Arabidopsis thaliana: one gene and its partners. The protein of the gene in region 2 interacts with the protein of the main gene of each other region in a pairwise test. Each region holds a gene or a part of one and is shown on either strand. Other genes may lie near its edges.

The links.
Region 1: the proteins of IQD6 (region 2) and AT3G27770 interact in a protein complementation assay, tested with the Arabidopsis thaliana proteins (one large-scale study listed by BioGRID).
Region 3: the proteins of IQD6 (region 2) and MGT6 interact in a protein complementation assay, tested with the Arabidopsis thaliana proteins (one large-scale study listed by BioGRID).
Region 4: the proteins of IQD6 (region 2) and RBOHD interact in a protein complementation assay, tested with the Arabidopsis thaliana proteins (one large-scale study listed by BioGRID).

What each region holds. Positions count from the first base shown.
Region 1 is NC_003074.8:10,285,119-10,289,667, forward strand, and holds AT3G27770 (plant/protein), read right to left. Parts: upstream 2,814-4,549; 5' UTR 2,550-2,813; intron 2,464-2,549; 5' UTR 2,357-2,463; coding exon 2,034-2,356; intron 1,942-2,033; coding exon 1,908-1,941; intron 1,821-1,907; coding exon 1,611-1,820; intron 1,497-1,610; coding exon 1,407-1,496; intron 1,279-1,406; coding exon 1,213-1,278; intron 1,123-1,212; coding exon 1,031-1,122; intron 949-1,030; coding exon 901-948; intron 785-900; coding exon 700-784; 3' UTR 539-699; downstream 1-538. Other genes in the region: EMB3123 (PPR containing protein), read left to right, coding at 1-370; MYB118 (myb domain protein 118), read right to left, coding at 3,649-4,242.
Region 2 is NC_003071.7:11,142,737-11,146,705, forward strand, and holds IQD6 (IQ-domain 6), read right to left. Parts: upstream 2,368-3,969; 5' UTR 2,247-2,367; coding exon 2,181-2,246; intron 2,107-2,180; coding exon 1,879-2,106; intron 1,802-1,878; coding exon 1,574-1,801; intron 1,502-1,573; coding exon 1,388-1,501; intron 1,312-1,387; coding exon 697-1,311; 3' UTR 554-696; downstream 1-553. Other genes in the region: CYP711A1 (cytochrome P450, family 711, subfamily A, polypeptide 1), read left to right, coding at 27-122, 205-534. UniProt on the Arabidopsis thaliana protein: May be involved in cooperative interactions with calmodulins or calmodulin-like proteins. Recruits calmodulin proteins to microtubules, thus being a potential scaffold in cellular signaling and trafficking.
Region 3 is NC_003074.8:21,788,787-21,793,194, reverse strand, and holds MGT6 (magnesium transporter 6), read left to right. Parts: upstream 1-1,718; 5' UTR 1,719-2,031; coding exon 2,032-2,359; intron 2,360-2,470; coding exon 2,471-2,886; intron 2,887-2,969; coding exon 2,970-3,536; 3' UTR 3,537-3,863; downstream 3,864-4,408. Other genes in the region: AT3G58960 (F-box/RNI-like/FBD-like domains-containing protein), read left to right, coding at 4,388-4,408. UniProt on the Arabidopsis thaliana protein: Magnesium transporter that may mediate the influx of magnesium.
Region 4 is NC_003076.8:19,395,317-19,402,568, forward strand, and holds RBOHD (respiratory burst oxidase homologue D), read left to right. Parts: upstream 1-1,724; 5' UTR 1,725-2,268; coding exon 2,269-2,896; intron 2,897-2,988; coding exon 2,989-3,151; intron 3,152-3,344; coding exon 3,345-3,393; intron 3,394-3,738; coding exon 3,739-3,852; intron 3,853-4,293; coding exon 4,294-5,103; intron 5,104-5,201; coding exon 5,202-5,297; intron 5,298-5,444; coding exon 5,445-6,240; intron 6,241-6,342; coding exon 6,343-6,452; 3' UTR 6,453-6,745; downstream 6,746-7,252. UniProt on the Arabidopsis thaliana protein: Calcium-dependent NADPH oxidase that generates superoxide.

The DNA of each region.
Region 1 (4,549 bases), on a different chromosome or scaffold from region 2:
TGTCCATGTACTCTCCACTCTCCGTACAGAGTATCCTCCTCTTGACCTTGTTCTATACGCAGACATTGTTAATGCTCTTACGAGGAATAAAGAGTTCGATGAGATAGATCGTCTTATTGGTGAAATTGATGGAATTGATCAAAGAAGTGATGATAAGGCTTTAGCTAAGTTGATTAGGGCTGTGGTTGGAGCTGAGAGGAGAGAGTCGGTGGTTAGGGTTTATACCTTGATGAGGGAAAGTGGTTGGGGGTCTGAGTCATGGGAGGCTGATGAGTATGTCGCTGAGGTTTTGAGTAAGGGTCTCTTGAGACTAGGAGAGCCAGACTTGGCTTCTCAAGTCTCACTCAAATCTTCAATTCTAAAACCTTGAATTTTCGGGTTTTCGGTTTGGTTTGGTTCGGTTTTTGATTAAGTTCATACACTTTTGGCAAAGATTGCACTATATTCTGTTGCTATGGTTAGTTCTTTCGATTTGGTTCGAGCTGAAATCAATTCGGGTAGCGAAAAATTTACGAAATGGTTCATTGCGATATGCGAATTGGATCGGAAGTAAATAGTTTATGCATTGAAATGTTGTGGCGTTTACAATGATCTGTTTTGAAGATTTTAGACATATGGGGTAAAAAATTGTTTCTTTGATTGTTGTAACCCTTGAGCACTGACTCTTACGGGGCAGAAACTCTTGGATTCGAAATGACTTCAAGAAATGAGTTTGTATTTGATTTTGACGATTAATGCAAAGAGGCCATAAGAAGGAAGATGCAGGAGTGCCACCAACAAATACCTGCAGATGCATGAATTAAAATATTAAGGATAGGCGTAATCATTCTAAGGAATGAAACATTATGATATAAACCAATCCTGACTAGTGTCTAGTATGTAAATGTTTTCAAGGCTTACCACACTGGAGCCATGTCTAATGACAGGTTGAGAAATGGATATGGCCACCTAAGTCAATCGAGGAATACAAGTGTAAGATTAATCAAGACGGTAAGTGTAACATACAAAAGATGACAGAGAAGAGTTTTACCCAACGGAGATAAACATGTGGAGAATCCACTGGAAAAGAACGAAACATCCTGTCCATAAGATGAAGTAAGAGAACCTGAACAATGGAAATTTCTGCAAAGCAACATCACAAAAAGACCTCAGGTTCAACACATTAATGAAAACGAAAACTCGTCGTAAATGCAGAGGAAAGAATTGTTTTACCAGACGGTTTAGAAACGTGTCAATAAGCAGCAAAACGAGGTTGCTTGTGTGCAAATTCACAGTCATCTGAAAACACAGAATTTTGACACTAGAGAAGTTGAGACTAAGTTCAAGAGGGTCAAGTGCAACGTAGAAAGTGCCATCAGCAGTGTACAAGCTTTAACTAATATACGGTAAATGGCGCGAAAACTTACGAAACTCATCTCATAGTCCTGTAAAGACAGAAACGGGAAAATCACGGTCCAATATATACTGTCTGTAAGCACAGCTGCTCCAGCACCCATCTGTTTTTCAACAAACCAAAACACACAAGTATCAGTGATCATATATACACTAATGAAACAAGAAATCTGAAAGTTGCAAACTATACATCATAATAACCAAAGGAATCTGTCTACCTGATATATAATCTGGAAGAGATGAACATATGACTTTAGTGCTTCCGAACCAGAAGTTTTTCTCTTCTCGAACGAAACCATGTTGTCACCATCTATAAGAGGCGAACGAAACCCGTTCTCTGCATCGATTCCTACTTGATCAGCGATAAGTCCAGTGTTCCCTTGCTTCTTGTATTGTAAACATCCATAAATTGAAAGCAATGATCCCATCTACACAACACACAAGTGACAACAAACATTCAAACAAACTTGACTATAACCATATACATATTCACAACATCAAAAATCAAAACATACCCCGAAGTAGATTGCTATCAAAGTGAATGTCCACCTACCAATCAAAACCTCAATCATATCAGTCTCAAAACATCAAAGATATTCCCTTTCCACACAATAAAGCAGAGATCTTTAAAGAGAACTTACTGAGTATAATAGTAGTAAATACGCCATCCACGATTAGCAAACCGGGCAATATTGTTAGCAAGAAGGAAACAAAACCCGAGAACCCGAAAACCCAACAACCAACCCGGATGGATTCGTTCAAAACAAGGTCTCCAAACATCATCAATGCACAAAACATCATTACCATTAAGTGATGGTTGAGTTTGAACTGAACTATCTTCATACTTCCATAAGACTAATAAAGAAACAATCATTGGAACTATTACCCATATAGCACATAGTAACACTCTCCAATTAAACCAGTAATCAAAGCTGGTGAATTCCAAAACATTCTCAAGATTCATTTTTTTTTTCTTGTTCTCTTGTTGATCCGTCTGAATATTCGGATCTTTTAGATCCGAAACTCAATGGGATCAACACCGGACTTGAAAACCCAGATCAAAAACTGTCTCTGCAGAGGAGTTAAAAGTAGCTTAATTGATTTACATATAGAGATATTAGTGTTAAGATTAAGTAGCTTTGATTCTTGATACTTACGTTATGTTAAGAGAAATGTAGAAGCTTGTCCTTGTTCTTGTTGTTGTGTGTGATGGAGAAGTCAAATTGAAACTTGGAAGGTGATGAGATATGAGATATGTATAAATCTGAAGAACAATCCAATGGCGGTGTCAGAGGCCCACTGGAATCGGAGAACACAGAGTGGAGACAAGGACAGGTGGGACCTTCTCCGTTTGTCCAACGCTTAGTTGCCAAACGACGTCGATTTGGTTTCGTGTGTATTTTACTTAAATAGGCCTAAATCACAAATCTCATATAAATGGAAAGATATCTACAAGCCCATTATTATTTTTAACTATTTGTAGTTAAGACTAAAATTGTTAAGTTTTTTTTCTTTTTTTGTTGGAGGAATTGCACAAAAAGAATAAGAAGTAATGGTTTATTGTATTTGGTTAAGATCTCAATTTTCTATGTAGTTAGTCAAAATATCATTAATGAATATAGATCCCAAAAGTTTTATGTATTTTTCTTTTAGTTATGTATGACTTTTCGAATGGTGATATACAAAACAAATGGAAAACCAAAATATAATGTATACAAAACTCTCATTACGTTTTTTTTTGTTTGTGTTTTGCCTAAAATTTCTGGTATTACAATACGACGGACCATATAGTCATTATGACGGTAAGGTAACAAATTCCAGAAAATTACAATACAACGGACCATACACATATTATCCCATATTACATCATACTAACCAGATATTTTGTAAACAACTAGTACTTTTTTTCTTTAGCATAGTCGATATAAAATTATTCTTTAGTGACTAAATGTACTTGTTGTGGACCTAATGGTCGTCTTCTCCTAACCGCAAACGCAATTACCATTCATATAGTATAACAGAAAATTTAACAATATATATAGATTCTTAATTAAAATGAAATTAGAGAATAACAAAAAAAAAATCTGATAAAGCAAGAAAACCTTCAATTTTTGTTTAGTCCAAAAGAAACCTTCAATTAAACCACAATATATATTACATGTCCAATTCTTCAATTAAAAGCACAAACATAATTTCATAAATAGCATAATTATATAGGTAGATATAATCAAGTTCGACTTGTTTATATTGCACGGTCTAAAGACGACCATGAGCAATCATCTCCAGCAAAGCAATCTCGTTCATCATAACTTCATCACATCCATGCATCACCATCCAGCTATCAGTCATCGGCTCATCAATCTCCATGGTCACACCACTTCCAGAACCAGACGCAGAACCAGAAGTAGACGCTGATCCGGAGGCCGACATAGCCGCCAATGACGGCATCTTGATCCTTCCATCTTCTAAACCCAAGTTATTCACACCATCCACAATATACTTACATTCACCCTCATCATACTCCGAGACCGCAACCATTACATTCTTACCTTTACCTCTCATGTTTCTTGGACCAATGTTTGCGTTTGCATTTGCGGTCATGAAAGGATCATCATTGTAGGTAACAGACCTAATGTAGTTCTGAAGAGTGTTGCTACCAAGTGAAAGGGAAATTTCATCTTTTCCTTTAGTCCTCCTCGAGTGTTGTCGACGTTTAGTCGCGTTCCAATGGTTCTTGATCGTATTTTCAGTGCGTCCCGGGAGTTTTCGAGCTATCTCAGCCCATCTGTTCCCAATCTCCTTATGGGCTTTTATCAGTATTATATCCTCTTCTTCAGTCCATCCATCTTTCTGTAACATACCACATAAAATATGCTTTATATGTAAATAATACATACAATATTAAACAAATATTTTTATTTTTTATATGTTTTTTTCTCTTTTATGTTTGTTGAATTATATGAGAGAATCCAAGTGACAATGACTTTAGTTTAAATGTCTTACCAATTGTGAAGTTTTGTCCGCAACAAGAAGACAAAATGCCTTAAAGAATTGTCATAGACATATATGTATATACAAACAAAAGTTTAAAGTATTCATGCATGAAATAAAACCGTATACATGTTGACAAGTGTGAAAAAAGTTTGTTAATATTCTC
Region 2 (3,969 bases):
ATGTTTTTTATTTGCCTCCTTTGTAGGTCATTAAAGAGGCTATGAGATTCTACATGGTTTCTCCTTTGGTTGCAAGGGAAACTGCTAAAGAAGTGGAGATAGGAGGTTATTTACTCCCAAAGGTATATTCAAACCCATCAAGCGGATTAGTCCATTTACAGTCAGCACTTGTAATCTATTACTTACCTTGTGGTTGTTGCTTAGGGGACATGGGTTTGGTTAGCACTAGGAGTTCTAGCAAAGGACCCTAAAAACTTTCCAGAACCGGAGAAGTTCAAGCCGGAAAGATTTGATCCGAACGGAGAAGAGGAGAAACATAGACATCCATACGCTTTCATCCCATTCGGTATCGGTCCACGAGCCTGTGTTGGACAGAGATTTGCCCTGCAAGAGATCAAACTCACATTACTGCATCTCTACCGTAATTACATTTTCAGACATTCCCTAGAAATGGAGATACCACTGCAGCTTGATTATGGTATAATTCTCAGCTTCAAGAACGGGGTTAAGCTCAGAACCATCAAAAGATTCTGATTCTTGAAACAAGTGAAATAAAAGCAAGACTGAAATTTATATTTAAATTCAAAACTCCAATGTAGTTCCAAAGGAAAAAGAACAATTAACAACATACACAGATATCTCACAACACACAAGACAACAACAAGCTGTTGAAACTCCAATCTAACAAGGTCACATTTAACCTCTCGGCTTCTCGAATCGAGTAGGAACACCGAGTGGTTTGGAGAAACTAACAAAAGGATCTGAGGAAGGACTAGTCTTCAATTCCCCTGTAAACATTCCAGAGTTCTTCATAAACTGAAACTCATCCATAGATTGCCTGAGACCGCGGTTAGTTCTTCGCTTAGCCTTTGTCGATTCAGTCAAGCTCATGTAACTTGGCTTGTGCTTTTTTGCTTGACTGCTAGAGTTATCTGAAACAAGTCCAGTTTTTCCAGAAACAGGCGTAGTTGAAGTACAAATCGAGGATGAACCTGAGCTCTCGTTAAACTCATAACCAGGACTTGAAGACAGCATATGAGGAGGAGGTTTTGCAGATACTCTAGTGGTCACATTGTTTCTTCTAACTTGAACAACATCCGCAGTTTCCGGTGATTTCAAATGTTTATGAGGCAGAGGAGGAGGCGTGGCAGCGGTATCAACAGTGTCCATAAGTCTAGTCTCCCATGGCCTAGCAGCCATCCAACGCTCCAACCAACTCCATCCCCAACTATTCTTATCAAACTCTTGACTTTTAAGATACGAAATCGAACTATTCGTCTTAAGGTTTGAGCTAGTAGTTGACCTCCATTGCTACACAAAACAAGATTCCCGATTCAGCTTCAGACACGAACTTAAACAAGATGTTGAATGTGGACAAGTTAGTTACCTTTTGAGCAAGAGCATAAGCCAAAGCACGTTCCCTCTTAAAAGCACCTTCTTGTCTCTGCTGCAACTTTGACTTAATATCATCCACAGTACCTTTCCTATCACACCACCCTTCCTGAGAACATAACAAATCTCAAAACAATAAACAATCATCAAACCAATGAGCTAAAAAGGTAAAGACAAGAACCTCGACTTCTTTCAAGAGATCAGATTTGGTTCTATGTTCATCTAAAAGCTTTTGAACAGCTTGTCCTTCAACAGTCATCCTCACACGACGAGCTCTAACACGAGCTTGTACTCTCACCAAAGCTTGCATGCATCTCAATGTAACAGCTGCTTGTTTCCTAACTTGTCTTCCTCTCACTAAAGCTTGTAACCTCACTATCCCTTTCAATGCCCTCAACGCTCTTCTCGCCTAATTAACAACAAATCCTCAAATTAAACTAAGTTCTATTCCTCTCAATTCTAATCAAAACCAATTAGCAAACTCACCAAGAATCCACGAAAAGCGGTTTGGATTCTAATAGCAGCCCATTCTTCTCTAACAGCTTTGAAATCTTTAGGAGGAGCTCTAAGAACAGTAGCAACAGCAGCAGAGTAAACAGTAGAAGAATCAACACCGTCTGAATCAGACCGATGTTTTCCTCGAAAACCCTTCCATGAATCTACTGAAGTAGTCCTCCATAGCTTCCATTTCTTGTTTTTCCCATTACCCTTTTCCTGAAAACAGAGTATCTCTCGATAAAGCTTTAACCTTTGAACGAGAGAACAAAAAAAAAAGATAATGAACTTACGATTTCATCCTTCTCTAGCTTCTTGAGACCGATAATGGACTTGACCCATTTCCCTGAAGCACCCATAGATTAAAAAGTTTCGATCTTTTTGGCTCGAATTCGTAGATTATTTTTTTCTTCAGGTATGTAGAAAGTTTGAGAGTGAGAGATTGATAGAGAGAGAGAGAATATCGGAGAATGTGAAGTTGTGGTGGTAATGGAGGGAGTGGTGGGTTAAAGAGAAGTTTTTGAAATTTGAACAAATCAAAGCAAAGCAACAAACAAAATATTAATAAAAAGTTTGCTCGAGTCTTTAGGCTTTTGTCTCTGATTGTGTTTTCACACTTATTTATTACTTACACAAACAAATGTGTCTGTGTCCTTCTCAGAGTTACAGGCATGAAAAAAGAAACCATGAAAAGGTACAATAAATTAATAAATATATATATATATGTATGTTAGGCTTTTTGTTGTTTTTTACTTTTTACAGTGACTCACTCATGTTCATGTAATACCTTGTTTTGTTTTATTATTCTTATATCATTGGATTCGAAATTTAAACTTCCCAAAATGTTGCAAATCAGATTTACGAAATACATTCTCTTTCGAAAAGCAATGTTTAGCTTTTGGATTTTGTGATTTGGACTGGTTAGACCTATCACTTGTCTAATAACCTCTATAACAGAACTTATTATCTTATATAATTATGACAAGGTTTTCTTTCTAAGACCATACACATTGGTCTTATGACTCAACAGTCAACACCCTATTTAACTCTCCACAAAACAGCGTTATAGCAATTTAAACTTTACAACTCTATTGCAAATTATAATAAATTATGCTCTCATAAAAAAACTAAATTCACGAGTGATTGATACAAAAAAACAACAACTGAAACGACAAAAGAACAACCTAAATTCACGAGTTAAAGAATCGAAAAAAATGCCCATGTATCTCCCAAATTTAGTTTTCAATATATATACTATTTTTTCTCGCTCATATTTAGTTTGAGTGAATCTTGTACATGAATCTATTTGTCTAGCAACTTTAAGATTAATTAGACATAATAAAAAAAAAAGATTAATCAGACAGAGAAAAAAGATGAACTCTGTAAAGATTGGGTCCTTAGCTATACAATGAAAATGAGATATATACAATTAATTCTAATTGATGATAACTTCTTAAAATAATAAAACAAAAATTACATGAAAACATGTACCACCGAAAACATGCACCATCACACTTGGGATTGAGTCCCGCTCGATACAAATGTAGGGATTTGGCTAATGGGCCGGACAATTGTGGCCCAATGTTGAAAAAAAACTACATGAAATACACAATGAAAGGAAAAAAATTCGATCCAAGAGTTGTTTGTCTGGCTAATGGGCCGGCCAATTGTGGCCCAATGTTGAAGAAAAAACTACATTAAACATACAATGAAAGTAAAAAAAATCGAGTCAAGAGTTGTTTCTGATATGATGTACATTAGCGATTAATGTGCTAACTCACAAATCAACCAGAATGGTGGTGGCATAGCTCTTAAAGAGGAAATGAGATAGAAACAATATGTTACAAACTAAAAATAAATCAAAATCATAGAGTATTACAACACACAAATAAATAAATTGGAAACAGACTCTACATGAAACCCATGAAATGAATTAGAAGAGAGAACACAAAAATATTGTATTAAATAAAATCTTTTGCCATTTTTCAATTGAGGATCATAATACATTGACGATGAAATCCAGAGATTGAATTCCTGATACCAAAAAAAAAAAGCAAATCAAAACCAACTATTGTTTTTTAA
Region 3 (4,408 bases), on a different chromosome or scaffold from region 2:
TTTATAGTTACTGAAAAACAAATCAAGCGAGTAAGAGCACCAAATGAAGATTGGTTACAAGATGATGAAGTTGATGTTGTTCTCCGATTCAGCAATGTGGTGAAGCTCATGAATGGCATACAAAATGTTCAGAAACTTTACTTAACTGCTGATACTATCGAGGTCAGTTTTCTATTTTTCTTCTCTTTTGTCTAGTTGTGAAGCATTAATTGCAAAATGTCTAGTTTTCTTGTTTTCAGGTGCTTTCTCTGTGCTGTGAATCGGTGCCGCTGTTCAACAACCTCAAAACATTAGGTATCACGAGTGAGGAGGGACGAGGATGGCAAGCGATGCCAGTTCTTGTAAGTAAATGTCCATATGTAGAATTTCTACTCGTTGAGGTCCAGTTATAAACCATGAAACTACTTGGAAAACATGTGTTAAAGATGTTGTTCTTACTCAACAATCTTATTGTCTCCTTTATGCTTTCAGGGTCTCTTACACTATATGACGGATAAATGTGGGGATGCTTGTGATTGCATTTCTCGGGAAGACAAAGGTCGTTCGCTTACATCTTGTCCAGTGAAGAAGTTAGAGATTCGAGGGTTTAGAGGAACAATGAAAGAGATGACAATGATAAAGCATTTCTTGGTCTACTTTCCGTGTCTGAAGGAGATGAACATCTATGTTGAGGAGTATGATCCTACAGAGCTCAGATTCCCTCAAGTGTCTAAAGTTATCATACAGATGATGGAAGAGTACAACAAGTTATCGAGTTGCAATGTTCAGCTCCTTATAACTGATTATTTGTCTGAAAAGTGGACTGCAGCAGGAAGAATTCTCTGAGAAAACAAAACTTGCTCAAAGTTTTGCCAAAGTCCCCTTGGAATTTGTCTTCGGTTATTCTAGTTTCTTTTCAAACCAAACCAAATTAATCCCAAAACCTTAGTTTCCTCTTCTCTTATGTTTAACTGAATCACTCTACGTTTTGTTTCCAACCAAAATCTCTTGTTTTTATGCATTGTTTCCTGTCATTTACTATGGTTAAAGCTCAATATAATAAGTTCAATTTGCAAAAGATAACTTTTTCAGAAACCTAACATTAGTATATCCATTGTTACCCTTTAAGAGCAGTTTAAGATCTATGACACTGTTTGTGACTGAGTGCTTGTCCGGATATGTGGGAAGATGATTATGATGAGGAGGAGGATAAGTATGAAACCTGTTTGTGAGTGCTTGTCCGGATATTTTCCTAATGTCGTGTCCTGTGAAAATGCTAGAGATCACCGATTACCGGGGAACTAAAGGAGATCAAAACAGATTCATTAGATTGACCTTGAGCTTGTCAAAGTTCGTCCTTATGCAACAGAGCCCATAGAAAAGCATTGTCTTAGAAACAATCTACTAAAGCTTCCCAGATCACTCAATTGCAAGACCCCAGTTTCAGTTTGTTACTACTTGCTCTATTTGTTAATTTAAACTGTTTTATGTACAGTGTTGCTTGTAGGTTCAACTCTCAAACTCCCAAACTCTCAAATGAATTGTTTTGATTTTATTCTTCATCAGAAATTGCCCTTGAGTTCTTCTCTTGTTAATTATGTTTGAATAACGATAACTGGGCTTATCTAGTTGGGCCTATAGTCTTTCACGATGCATACGCAGCCCAGAGAATTGAACTCGATAAAATAGATTATACATGTTCTGTGTGATCGTTGGGTCCGAACCAAACCGATTCTGGCCAGGAAATTAAAACCAAAACCAAACCGCTTCAGAAACCAAACGATACCGTTTCAATACATCGATATCGACTATAGCAATTTCGCCGTAAGAAAGTTTTAGTTACAAAATCGAACCCTATTCTTTTTTTTTCCGTCAATCGAACCCTATTCCTCACTGACCCTGACGTTTATGGCAGAGGAAGGATTCATCGGAATTGGAGAAAGCGAAGAAGAAGCGGCAGAGATCGGCGCTTTCTCCTACAGCCACCACCAGATCTCTGACCTGCGACGAAGAAGTTGACTGAAACAATTATTTGTTTCGTGGCTGGAATCCATGGGGAAGGGCCCCTTATCGTTTCGCCGTCTTTCAAGCATCCGTCACCGGAAAAAAGGTTCTGCGGTGAAGGATGACTCCGCACAGACATCGACGCCTTCATCTCCACCGCCTCCCCTACCGATTCATGCTGGCGGATCGGCTGTGGGAGCGACGGGGAAGGCGAAGAAGAAAACCGGAGGAGCTAGGCTGTGGATGAGGTTTGATCGGACTGGTGCTATGGAAGTGGTGGAGTGCGATAAGAGTACAATCATCAAACGTGCTTCTGTTCCCGCTAGGGATTTGAGGATACTTGGCCCTGTCTTCTCTCACTCCTCTAACATTCTCGGTAAAAACTTCGATTTGCTAATTCCTGGATTAGGTCATAAGATCACAATTGCTGCAAATTAGCTTGGACATTGTGTTTCTGAAGTTATAAGCTTGTTTTTTTGCTCTGCAGCCAGAGAGAAAGCTATTGTTGTGAATTTAGAGGTCATAAAGGCAATAGTTACTGCAGAAGAAGTGTTGTTGTTGGATCCTCTCCGTCCTGAAGTTCTTCCATTCGTTGAACGACTAAAGCAACAGTTTCCTCAGAGGAATGGGAATGAAAATGCACTGCAAGCTTCTGCGAATGTACAATCTCCTCTTGATCCAGAAGCTGCAGAGGGTTTGCAGAGTGAGCTTCCTTTTGAGTTTCAGGTCCTGGAGATTGCACTTGAGGTCGTCTGCTCATTTGTTGATAAAAGTGTGGCTGCTCTTGAGACAGAAGCTTGGCCTGTCCTTGATGAACTCACTAAGAATGTCAGCACTGAGAATCTTGAATATGTACGAAGTTTGAAAAGTAATCTCACCCGCTTGCTAGCTCGTGTACAAAAGGTAGAGGCTTAATAAGTTACCATTTCCCAGGATACTATAATGTTGTGTGGTGGATGGAAACATTAAACTGTTGTGTTATTCAGGTGAGAGATGAACTCGAGCATTTGTTAGATGACAACGAAGACATGGCTGACTTATACTTAACAAGGAAATGGATCCAGAACCAGCAAACCGAGGCAATACTGGCGGGTACAGCATCAAACAGCATTGCCCTCCCAGCACATAATACATCAAATCTTCACCGGCTCACATCAAACAGAAGTGCGAGTATGGTGACGAGCAATACAGAGGAAGATGACGTGGAGGATTTGGAGATGTTGTTGGAGGCATACTTCATGCAACTGGATGGAATGCGGAACAAGATTCTTACAGTGAGGGAGTACATTGACGACACAGAAGACTACGTGAACATTCAACTGGATAATCAACGAAACGAACTGATCCAGCTGCAGCTGACGCTGACCATAGCCTCGTTTGCAATAGCCGCAGAGACATTGTTGGCCAGCTTGTTTGGAATGAACATACCATGTCCATTGTATAGCATACATGGCGTCTTTGGTTACTTTGTGTGGAGTGTTACTGCACTTTGCATTGTGCTTTTCATGGTCACTCTTGGTTACGCCAGGTGGAAGAAGCTGCTAGGCTCATAATCTCCCTCTCTCTTACAAACCATGTGCCACTTGTGTAATAATTTATACATATGTTACTGGACAGAGTTGTTTCACTCATATCTTGTCCAGTGAAGACGTTAGTGATTCATATATGTTGTTGAGGAACACATGTAGATGGAAATGATATAAGAGTATATATGTTGAAGAGAATTATATTCAGACATCGAAGTCATTAAAATGTTTAAACTAATTGTGCACATAATTGAACTCTTCAACTAGTTTGCTCTCTTCTCAAAGCTCTCTCTTATTACTCTTCCAATGATTTTTCTCTATATTCCTCACACAAAACATTCATCCTCTACCTTGGTATCGAGTTCATCATCAACTGCTTTCCGTTGTCGAACTTAAGTTTATGGGTTGATTTGATTTGGTTCGGTGTGGTTTATTTTTGGTTATTAAAACTGGTCCAACCAAACCAATTTTAAAGTTAGCCAAACCGCTTTACTTTCCAAAACCCTAAATTTTCGTTTTGGTTTTTCTCCCAAGTTACCTTAAAGTAAACCGAACAGATTTACTTTCCGAAACCCTAAAATTCTCGTTGCCAAATAGAAATAGGTTCGGCTGCGTTTGTAGTTTGTACGTCGTCCTCTCAAAGTCAAAGTTTGTGACTTCTCTTCTGCTTTCTCGCCTCTCGGCTCTCCCGTAGTAAGGTATTTCTGAAAATTTCTAACCATGGTTTCTTATAGTCTCACGTAGTTAGTATTGCTTCTTCTCCGCATATCTTCGGTATATATCTCCACTTTCAAAGTATTTTCGTTTCCAGAGAATCGTATTATGACGTTTCTATGTTTGTAGATCGAGAACTTTCTTCCAATTAGTTGAGTAAAGAGATGGATAGAATCAGCAGTCTA
Region 4 (7,252 bases), on a different chromosome or scaffold from region 2:
TCATATCCATTATAATCATCTTTAGCAATACTATTTTATTTTTAACTACGAAAAATAAACCTTGTTACGCCGTTATTAACAGTGATCATTTTTTTCGTTAAAGAAATTTAACATTCAAAAAAGATAAAGAATGATCACCAATAAGCGTCATGATCTTCCGTATGGTGATGATAAACATCGTTTGCAGTTTTGTTGTATAGTACAACGTATATGTAGCCGTAACGTGTGAATAGTGTATGGTTAGGGTCATTTTATTTGTGAACTACCACAATTTTGATAGCAGTGGAGATAAGTCAAAGGTTCGTCTTCTAATTAATTAACAGCGATTATTAGACTATCTAACTTTTCTTCTTTTCTTATTTTGATAATAACTATATATCTTCTTTAGCCACCTTACTTTCTCATCGGGTTCTATTTAAATAGGGACAAAGAAAACAAACCATCGATTTGTACTATGTGCTCAATTATATCATATGTTTTGTCTCCATCTATGTATCTATTTCTCTTTTCCATTTGGTAAATTATTTAAGACCCTTAAACTGACTTTTCTCGTGGGCGGCGTCGAAGTTTTGGTTAACAGACAAAACATCTGTTCATGATGCCTGCATAACTCTATGTTTTTATACTACTCATTTGCCCTCTATTTCATGCTACTCTTAAAAATAGCTAAATAAAAATACTTCAATATTAGAAAAAAAATCTTCTTGATGTCAAAAATACACTTTAGATATCCCCTCTAGTTCTTGTGATGCTAATATATTACAAAATTGTTTATATATATAGAAATATTACCTCTAGCAATACAAAAATCTTGTTATATCAATTAAATATAACACTATCCGACTAGTGTTTACTAAAATAACACATAATTTTTAATTATGATCTTTGAATTTTAGTTTATGTATTACGCTTTATAATTTTGTTATCAAAAACTATAAAAGCTCAAAAGTGAGCATCTATACCCTAATTCCGTTTTTATGCATACACTTAGGTTTATTTTTATTACGAGAATCTGTGTTTAGTATATATAAAATAGAGTTTATGAATGACTAAGTTAAATACTTCAATACTAATTAAAGTAAGTCGTATTGATGCAGACAATATAAACTTTAGATATCTCCGCTAGTTTGTATAATGCTAATAGATTCAAATTGTCTTTATGTAGAGGAATTACCTCAAATAACATAAAATTTTCATTTTATTAATTAAATCTCATTTTGTCATTTCAAAAGTCATTTTAATTACTGTGTTATTTGTCTAAAGTATACTCCAAACAAGAAACCAAAGTAGAAGGTCAGTGCCCAAGAGACAAATAAACTTAAGCATGTCCACTCTTTTTAGCGATCGGATCGCTTATCTGTTCTTATCCATTATGGAACATGAACGATGTTCCTTTAAGACTACCACATTCAAACGAAAAATAAGTCATCGATGATAGACTGGATAGTTATAGTTTGATGATCTAGCTAATTGACTTTCATATTTACATAAAACAGAAATGTGTTTTTATCAAAAAAGAAAAAAGAAAAAACAGAAAATGAACAATACATCTCACATGGAGTTTGTACAAGAATCCATAATAATTTTTTGTTCGGTACAGTAGGTTAGATATACATTTGAATACAGTTTACAAGCCAAATGTTAGAAGCAACATATTTATATAGTATCATCAATATACGATCCAAAATGAATTATAGATTGACTTATGGAAAAGTTAGATACTATATGCATGATTGCCAAATACATTGAAAAATAACAATTTAAGTTCTTCAAACAAAAGTTTATAAATGACTCGGTGTTTGACATAACTCGGGGTTGTTTTTCTTTGTTAATTCACACACGGGGTTGGTGTATAAATGACTTCGGTGTTTGAAATGTATGACACGGTATAAATAAAAAAGGTAAGGAAGAAATGAAGAATAGAAGAAGAACAAAAAAAAAAGGAAATTAAAAAAAAGTCAAAATAAATGGTCAGTAAAGGATTTTGACCAGACCGGAGCGGTCCATCCATAGTTTCCCACTACCTTCCCTGATTTAGCACAGAAGAATGGCAATTTGCATGCCATTTATTTCATCTATTCCTCCTTCACTCTATAAATATATTTTAAACAAAATCAATTTCTTCCATACACAAAAATCAAACACCTTTTGAGAGCGGTTATTTTTTCTCTATCAACTAATACAGTAACCTTACGGGTGTTTATTTGTATAGATCTCTGTGGTTTTCTTGGCCAAATCTAGTGAGATCTTTTTGGTTTCTCGAATTCGATGAAAATGAGACGAGGCAATTCAAGTAACGACCATGAACTTGGGATTCTACGAGGAGCTAACTCGGACACCAACTCGGACACGGAGAGCATCGCTAGCGACCGTGGTGCCTTTAGCGGTCCGCTTGGCCGGCCTAAACGTGCGTCCAAGAAAAACGCAAGATTCGCCGACGATCTTCCCAAGAGAAGCAATAGTGTTGCTGGCGGCCGTGGTGATGACGATGAGTACGTGGAGATCACGCTAGACATCAGGGACGACTCGGTGGCCGTCCATAGTGTCCAACAAGCAGCTGGAGGTGGAGGCCACCTGGAGGACCCGGAGCTAGCCCTTCTTACGAAGAAGACTCTCGAGAGCAGCCTCAACAACACCACCTCCTTATCTTTCTTCCGAAGCACCTCCTCACGCATCAAGAACGCCTCCCGCGAGCTCCGCCGCGTGTTCTCTAGACGTCCCTCCCCGGCCGTGCGGCGGTTTGACCGCACGAGCTCCGCGGCCATCCACGCACTCAAAGGTCTCAAGTTCATTGCCACCAAGACGGCCGCATGGCCGGCCGTCGACCAACGTTTCGATAAACTCTCCGCTGATTCCAACGGCCTCTTACTCTCTGCCAAGTTTTGGGAATGCTTAGGTAAGTAAATCACTTCTTACTAAGCAATTCTATTAGTACTATATGTTTCCATTTTTGTGTTAGTCTCATTTTTGTTTTGTTTTTTACTCTAGGAATGAATAAGGAATCTAAAGACTTCGCTGACCAGCTCTTTAGAGCATTAGCTCGCCGGAATAACGTCTCCGGCGATGCAATCACAAAGGAACAGCTTAGGATATTCTGGGAACAGATCTCAGACGAAAGCTTTGATGCCAAACTCCAAGTCTTTTTTGACATGTAAGCTTTTTTTTACATATCTTCACCTAACCCACAATAAATATATAACGCGTAATCACTATTTGTCGTTTAATATTGACTCTTAATGAAAATTAAACGGTCATCAGAATTTAAGGACCAAAAGTAGTAATATTAATCATTTGTGGAGTTTTGGTGGATTTGTAACTAATATATGACATCACTGTTTGGTCAGGGTGGACAAAGATGAAGATGGGCGAGTAACAGAAGAAGAGGTGGCTGAGGTGAGAAAACACACACACCACTCAATAATTATCTTTTTCAAATATTTTATTATATTTATACATTTTTTTTATCTTATATTTATTCATATTCCTGGTTGAATTTTTTTTCTCTTATTTTATACGTTATTCTTGGTTGATTATTTTGACAATTTTGTCCACGCGCAAATCCCCACTGACTTTATCTGCTGACGTTTACTATTAACATCATCAATATATTAACTTCATGTGAACACGACAAAATGGTAATAGATAGATAGAGTAGTAGTCTTTGTTACTTTAGCTTAGGTTATTAATGTTTCAAATACTTTAGCTTTTGTTTTCTAATTTGTTGGTAATTTATTGCAGATTATTAGTCTTAGTGCTTCTGCAAACAAGCTCTCAAATATTCAAAAGCAAGCCAAAGAATATGCGGCACTGATAATGGAAGAGTTGGACCCAGACAATGCTGGGTTTATTATGGTACGTGTGGTCCACTTTCACCCACTCAATCACACTAATGGTATTATGTACGTCGTAAATTTAACCACTCTTAAAATACTAGAAAAAACGTGGAAAAACATAACGTTCTAGAAGTCTTTAGTGGTCAAAATTGGGTCACCATGATGTTTTTTAATTTCCAACTTATTGGGCCATCTTGAACTTTTTACCAAACCAATCAACAAAATCTCGACAATGGGTGGTTAGTGGTTACGATATGAAGAAATGACCAATAAAATTGTAAAATATATGAACTAACACTATAATCCAAGCTTAGAAAGTCTTAGGCGGCTTCCGATAGTATATTGTTTTTTAATTATTGGAGAAACCTATGAAAAGTGTTTTTAAGAAAAACAGTTTGGAACATTAATGTTTTATTGTAACGTTTTAGTTAATTATATGATATGGACATTGGTGAAACAGATCGAAAACTTGGAAATGTTGCTATTACAAGCACCAAACCAGTCGGTGCGGATGGGAGACAGCAGGATACTTAGTCAGATGTTAAGTCAGAAGCTTAGACCGGCAAAAGAGAGCAACCCTTTAGTGAGATGGTCGGAGAAAATCAAATATTTCATACTTGACAATTGGCAGAGACTATGGATAATGATGTTATGGCTTGGCATCTGTGGTGGCCTCTTTACTTATAAATTCATTCAGTACAAGAACAAAGCTGCCTATGGTGTCATGGGTTATTGCGTTTGTGTCGCCAAAGGAGGCGCCGAGACTCTCAAATTCAACATGGCTCTCATATTGTTGCCTGTTTGTCGAAACACCATCACTTGGCTTAGGAACAAGACTAAGCTTGGTACTGTCGTTCCTTTTGATGATAGTCTTAACTTCCACAAGGTTATTGCAAGCGGGATAGTCGTCGGTGTTTTACTCCATGCGGGTGCCCATTTAACGTGTGATTTTCCACGTTTAATTGCCGCGGATGAGGACACCTATGAGCCGATGGAAAAATACTTTGGGGATCAACCGACTAGCTACTGGTGGTTTGTGAAAGGAGTGGAAGGATGGACTGGCATTGTGATGGTTGTGCTAATGGCTATAGCCTTTACACTCGCGACGCCTTGGTTCCGACGTAACAAGCTTAACTTACCTAACTTCCTCAAGAAGCTTACCGGTTTCAACGCCTTTTGGTACACCCACCATTTGTTCATCATTGTTTATGCTCTTCTCATTGTCCATGGTATCAAGCTCTACCTCACAAAGATTTGGTATCAGAAAACGGTACTCTCTTCAAACCTCATTTTATCTGTTTTAATTTCTTATTTTCTTTCCTTTTTCCGGTTAATAACATTTATTACCTGTTTGTATGATTCTTGTAGACATGGATGTATCTTGCTGTACCCATCCTTCTATATGCATCGGAGAGGCTGCTCCGTGCTTTCAGATCAAGCATCAAACCGGTTAAGATGATCAAGGTCAGATATATTTCTATTTATCTCTTGAAAACCTTATGTTTCAAGAAATATTTCAACTAATACTTTTAAACCATCTTATTTTATAGTTCTTTTTGATAAAAGTTTGAAAATTGCCTTTGAACTTAATCTATATATATGTAACAACAGGTGGCTGTTTACCCCGGGAACGTGTTGTCTCTACACATGACGAAGCCACAAGGATTCAAATACAAAAGTGGACAGTTCATGTTGGTGAACTGCCGAGCCGTATCTCCATTCGAATGGCATCCTTTCTCAATCACATCAGCTCCCGGAGACGATTACCTGAGCGTACATATCCGCACTCTCGGTGACTGGACACGTAAGCTCAGGACCGTTTTCTCCGAGGTTTGCAAACCTCCTACCGCCGGTAAAAGCGGTCTTCTCCGAGCAGACGGAGGAGATGGAAACCTCCCGTTCCCGAAGGTCCTTATCGACGGTCCATACGGTGCTCCCGCACAAGACTACAAGAAATACGACGTGGTACTCCTCGTAGGTCTCGGCATTGGAGCCACGCCTATGATCAGTATCCTTAAGGACATCATCAACAACATGAAAGGTCCTGACCGCGACAGCGACATTGAGAACAATAACAGTAACAACAATAGTAAAGGGTTTAAGACAAGGAAAGCTTATTTCTACTGGGTGACTAGGGAACAAGGATCATTCGAGTGGTTCAAGGGAATAATGGACGAGATTTCGGAGTTAGACGAGGAAGGAATCATCGAGCTTCACAATTATTGCACGAGTGTGTACGAGGAAGGTGATGCAAGAGTGGCTCTCATTGCCATGCTTCAGTCGTTGCAACACGCTAAGAACGGTGTGGATGTTGTGTCGGGTACACGTGTCAAGTCCCACTTCGCTAAACCTAACTGGAGACAAGTCTACAAGAAGATCGCTGTTCAACATCCCGGCAAAAGAATAGGTAACTAATCTCGACCGTTAATCTCGTTATGTACGTGATGTTGTATAATAATTAATAAAGTGATGAATTTAGACTAAATACTAATATGAATTTTGATTGCAGGAGTCTTCTACTGTGGAATGCCAGGAATGATAAAGGAATTAAAAAATCTAGCTTTGGATTTTTCTCGAAAGACAACTACCAAGTTTGACTTCCACAAAGAGAACTTCTAGATTAATTATATACGTTGTAGAAAAATAAAACAAGAAACAACTATACAAATAAATATTTATTTTAAATTCTTTTCATTTTTATGTAAAATTATCTGAGTTATCTTTTTTTGTTCTTCTATATCCCTACCGTTTTGTTGGTTACTTTTTCACTACTTAGTTTAATGCCAAATTAAGTATAAGATAGTAGAAGTTTATATAGTTACAGCTTTGGTGTTGTAAACATGTAATCATGGAGTTATCTGTACTATTATTTTGTACTTATATTCGAATATTAACAACTAAAGATAGTTTTGATATTCAATACCCATTACTCATTTAACATAATGAATAGAGATATCAACATTAGATACGTCTTGATTATTTGCTCACCAATGCATTTGCGTGTTTAACTTGTTTATATGTTATTAATAGTGTTCTTTTAGTTAAAATGACAAATAATTTCTTAACTCAAAAGCATCTTATATCACAACTCTAGCTAGATTAGTTTAGCTTTTCATAAGTCTTCTTGCGTTTACGTCTTTATTTATGGGTTGATACCCTATTCACTACTTTAATTTGCCTTGCACTTGGGATAGTTTAAAAGACTTTAAAATTATGCAGCTAGAATATAATCAAAACTTGATATAAGTATCAAAATAATTAAATACAATTGCTATCGATAATAATCAGAAACAATCGTTATGAATGGTTAAGTTTGTTTCCTTAAAATGGTTACGAATGATTAATTTTGTTCCTTAGGTAAACTAAAAGTTCAAAAACAAATCCAACCTACTACAATCTAAGAAAACTGACAAAGTTTA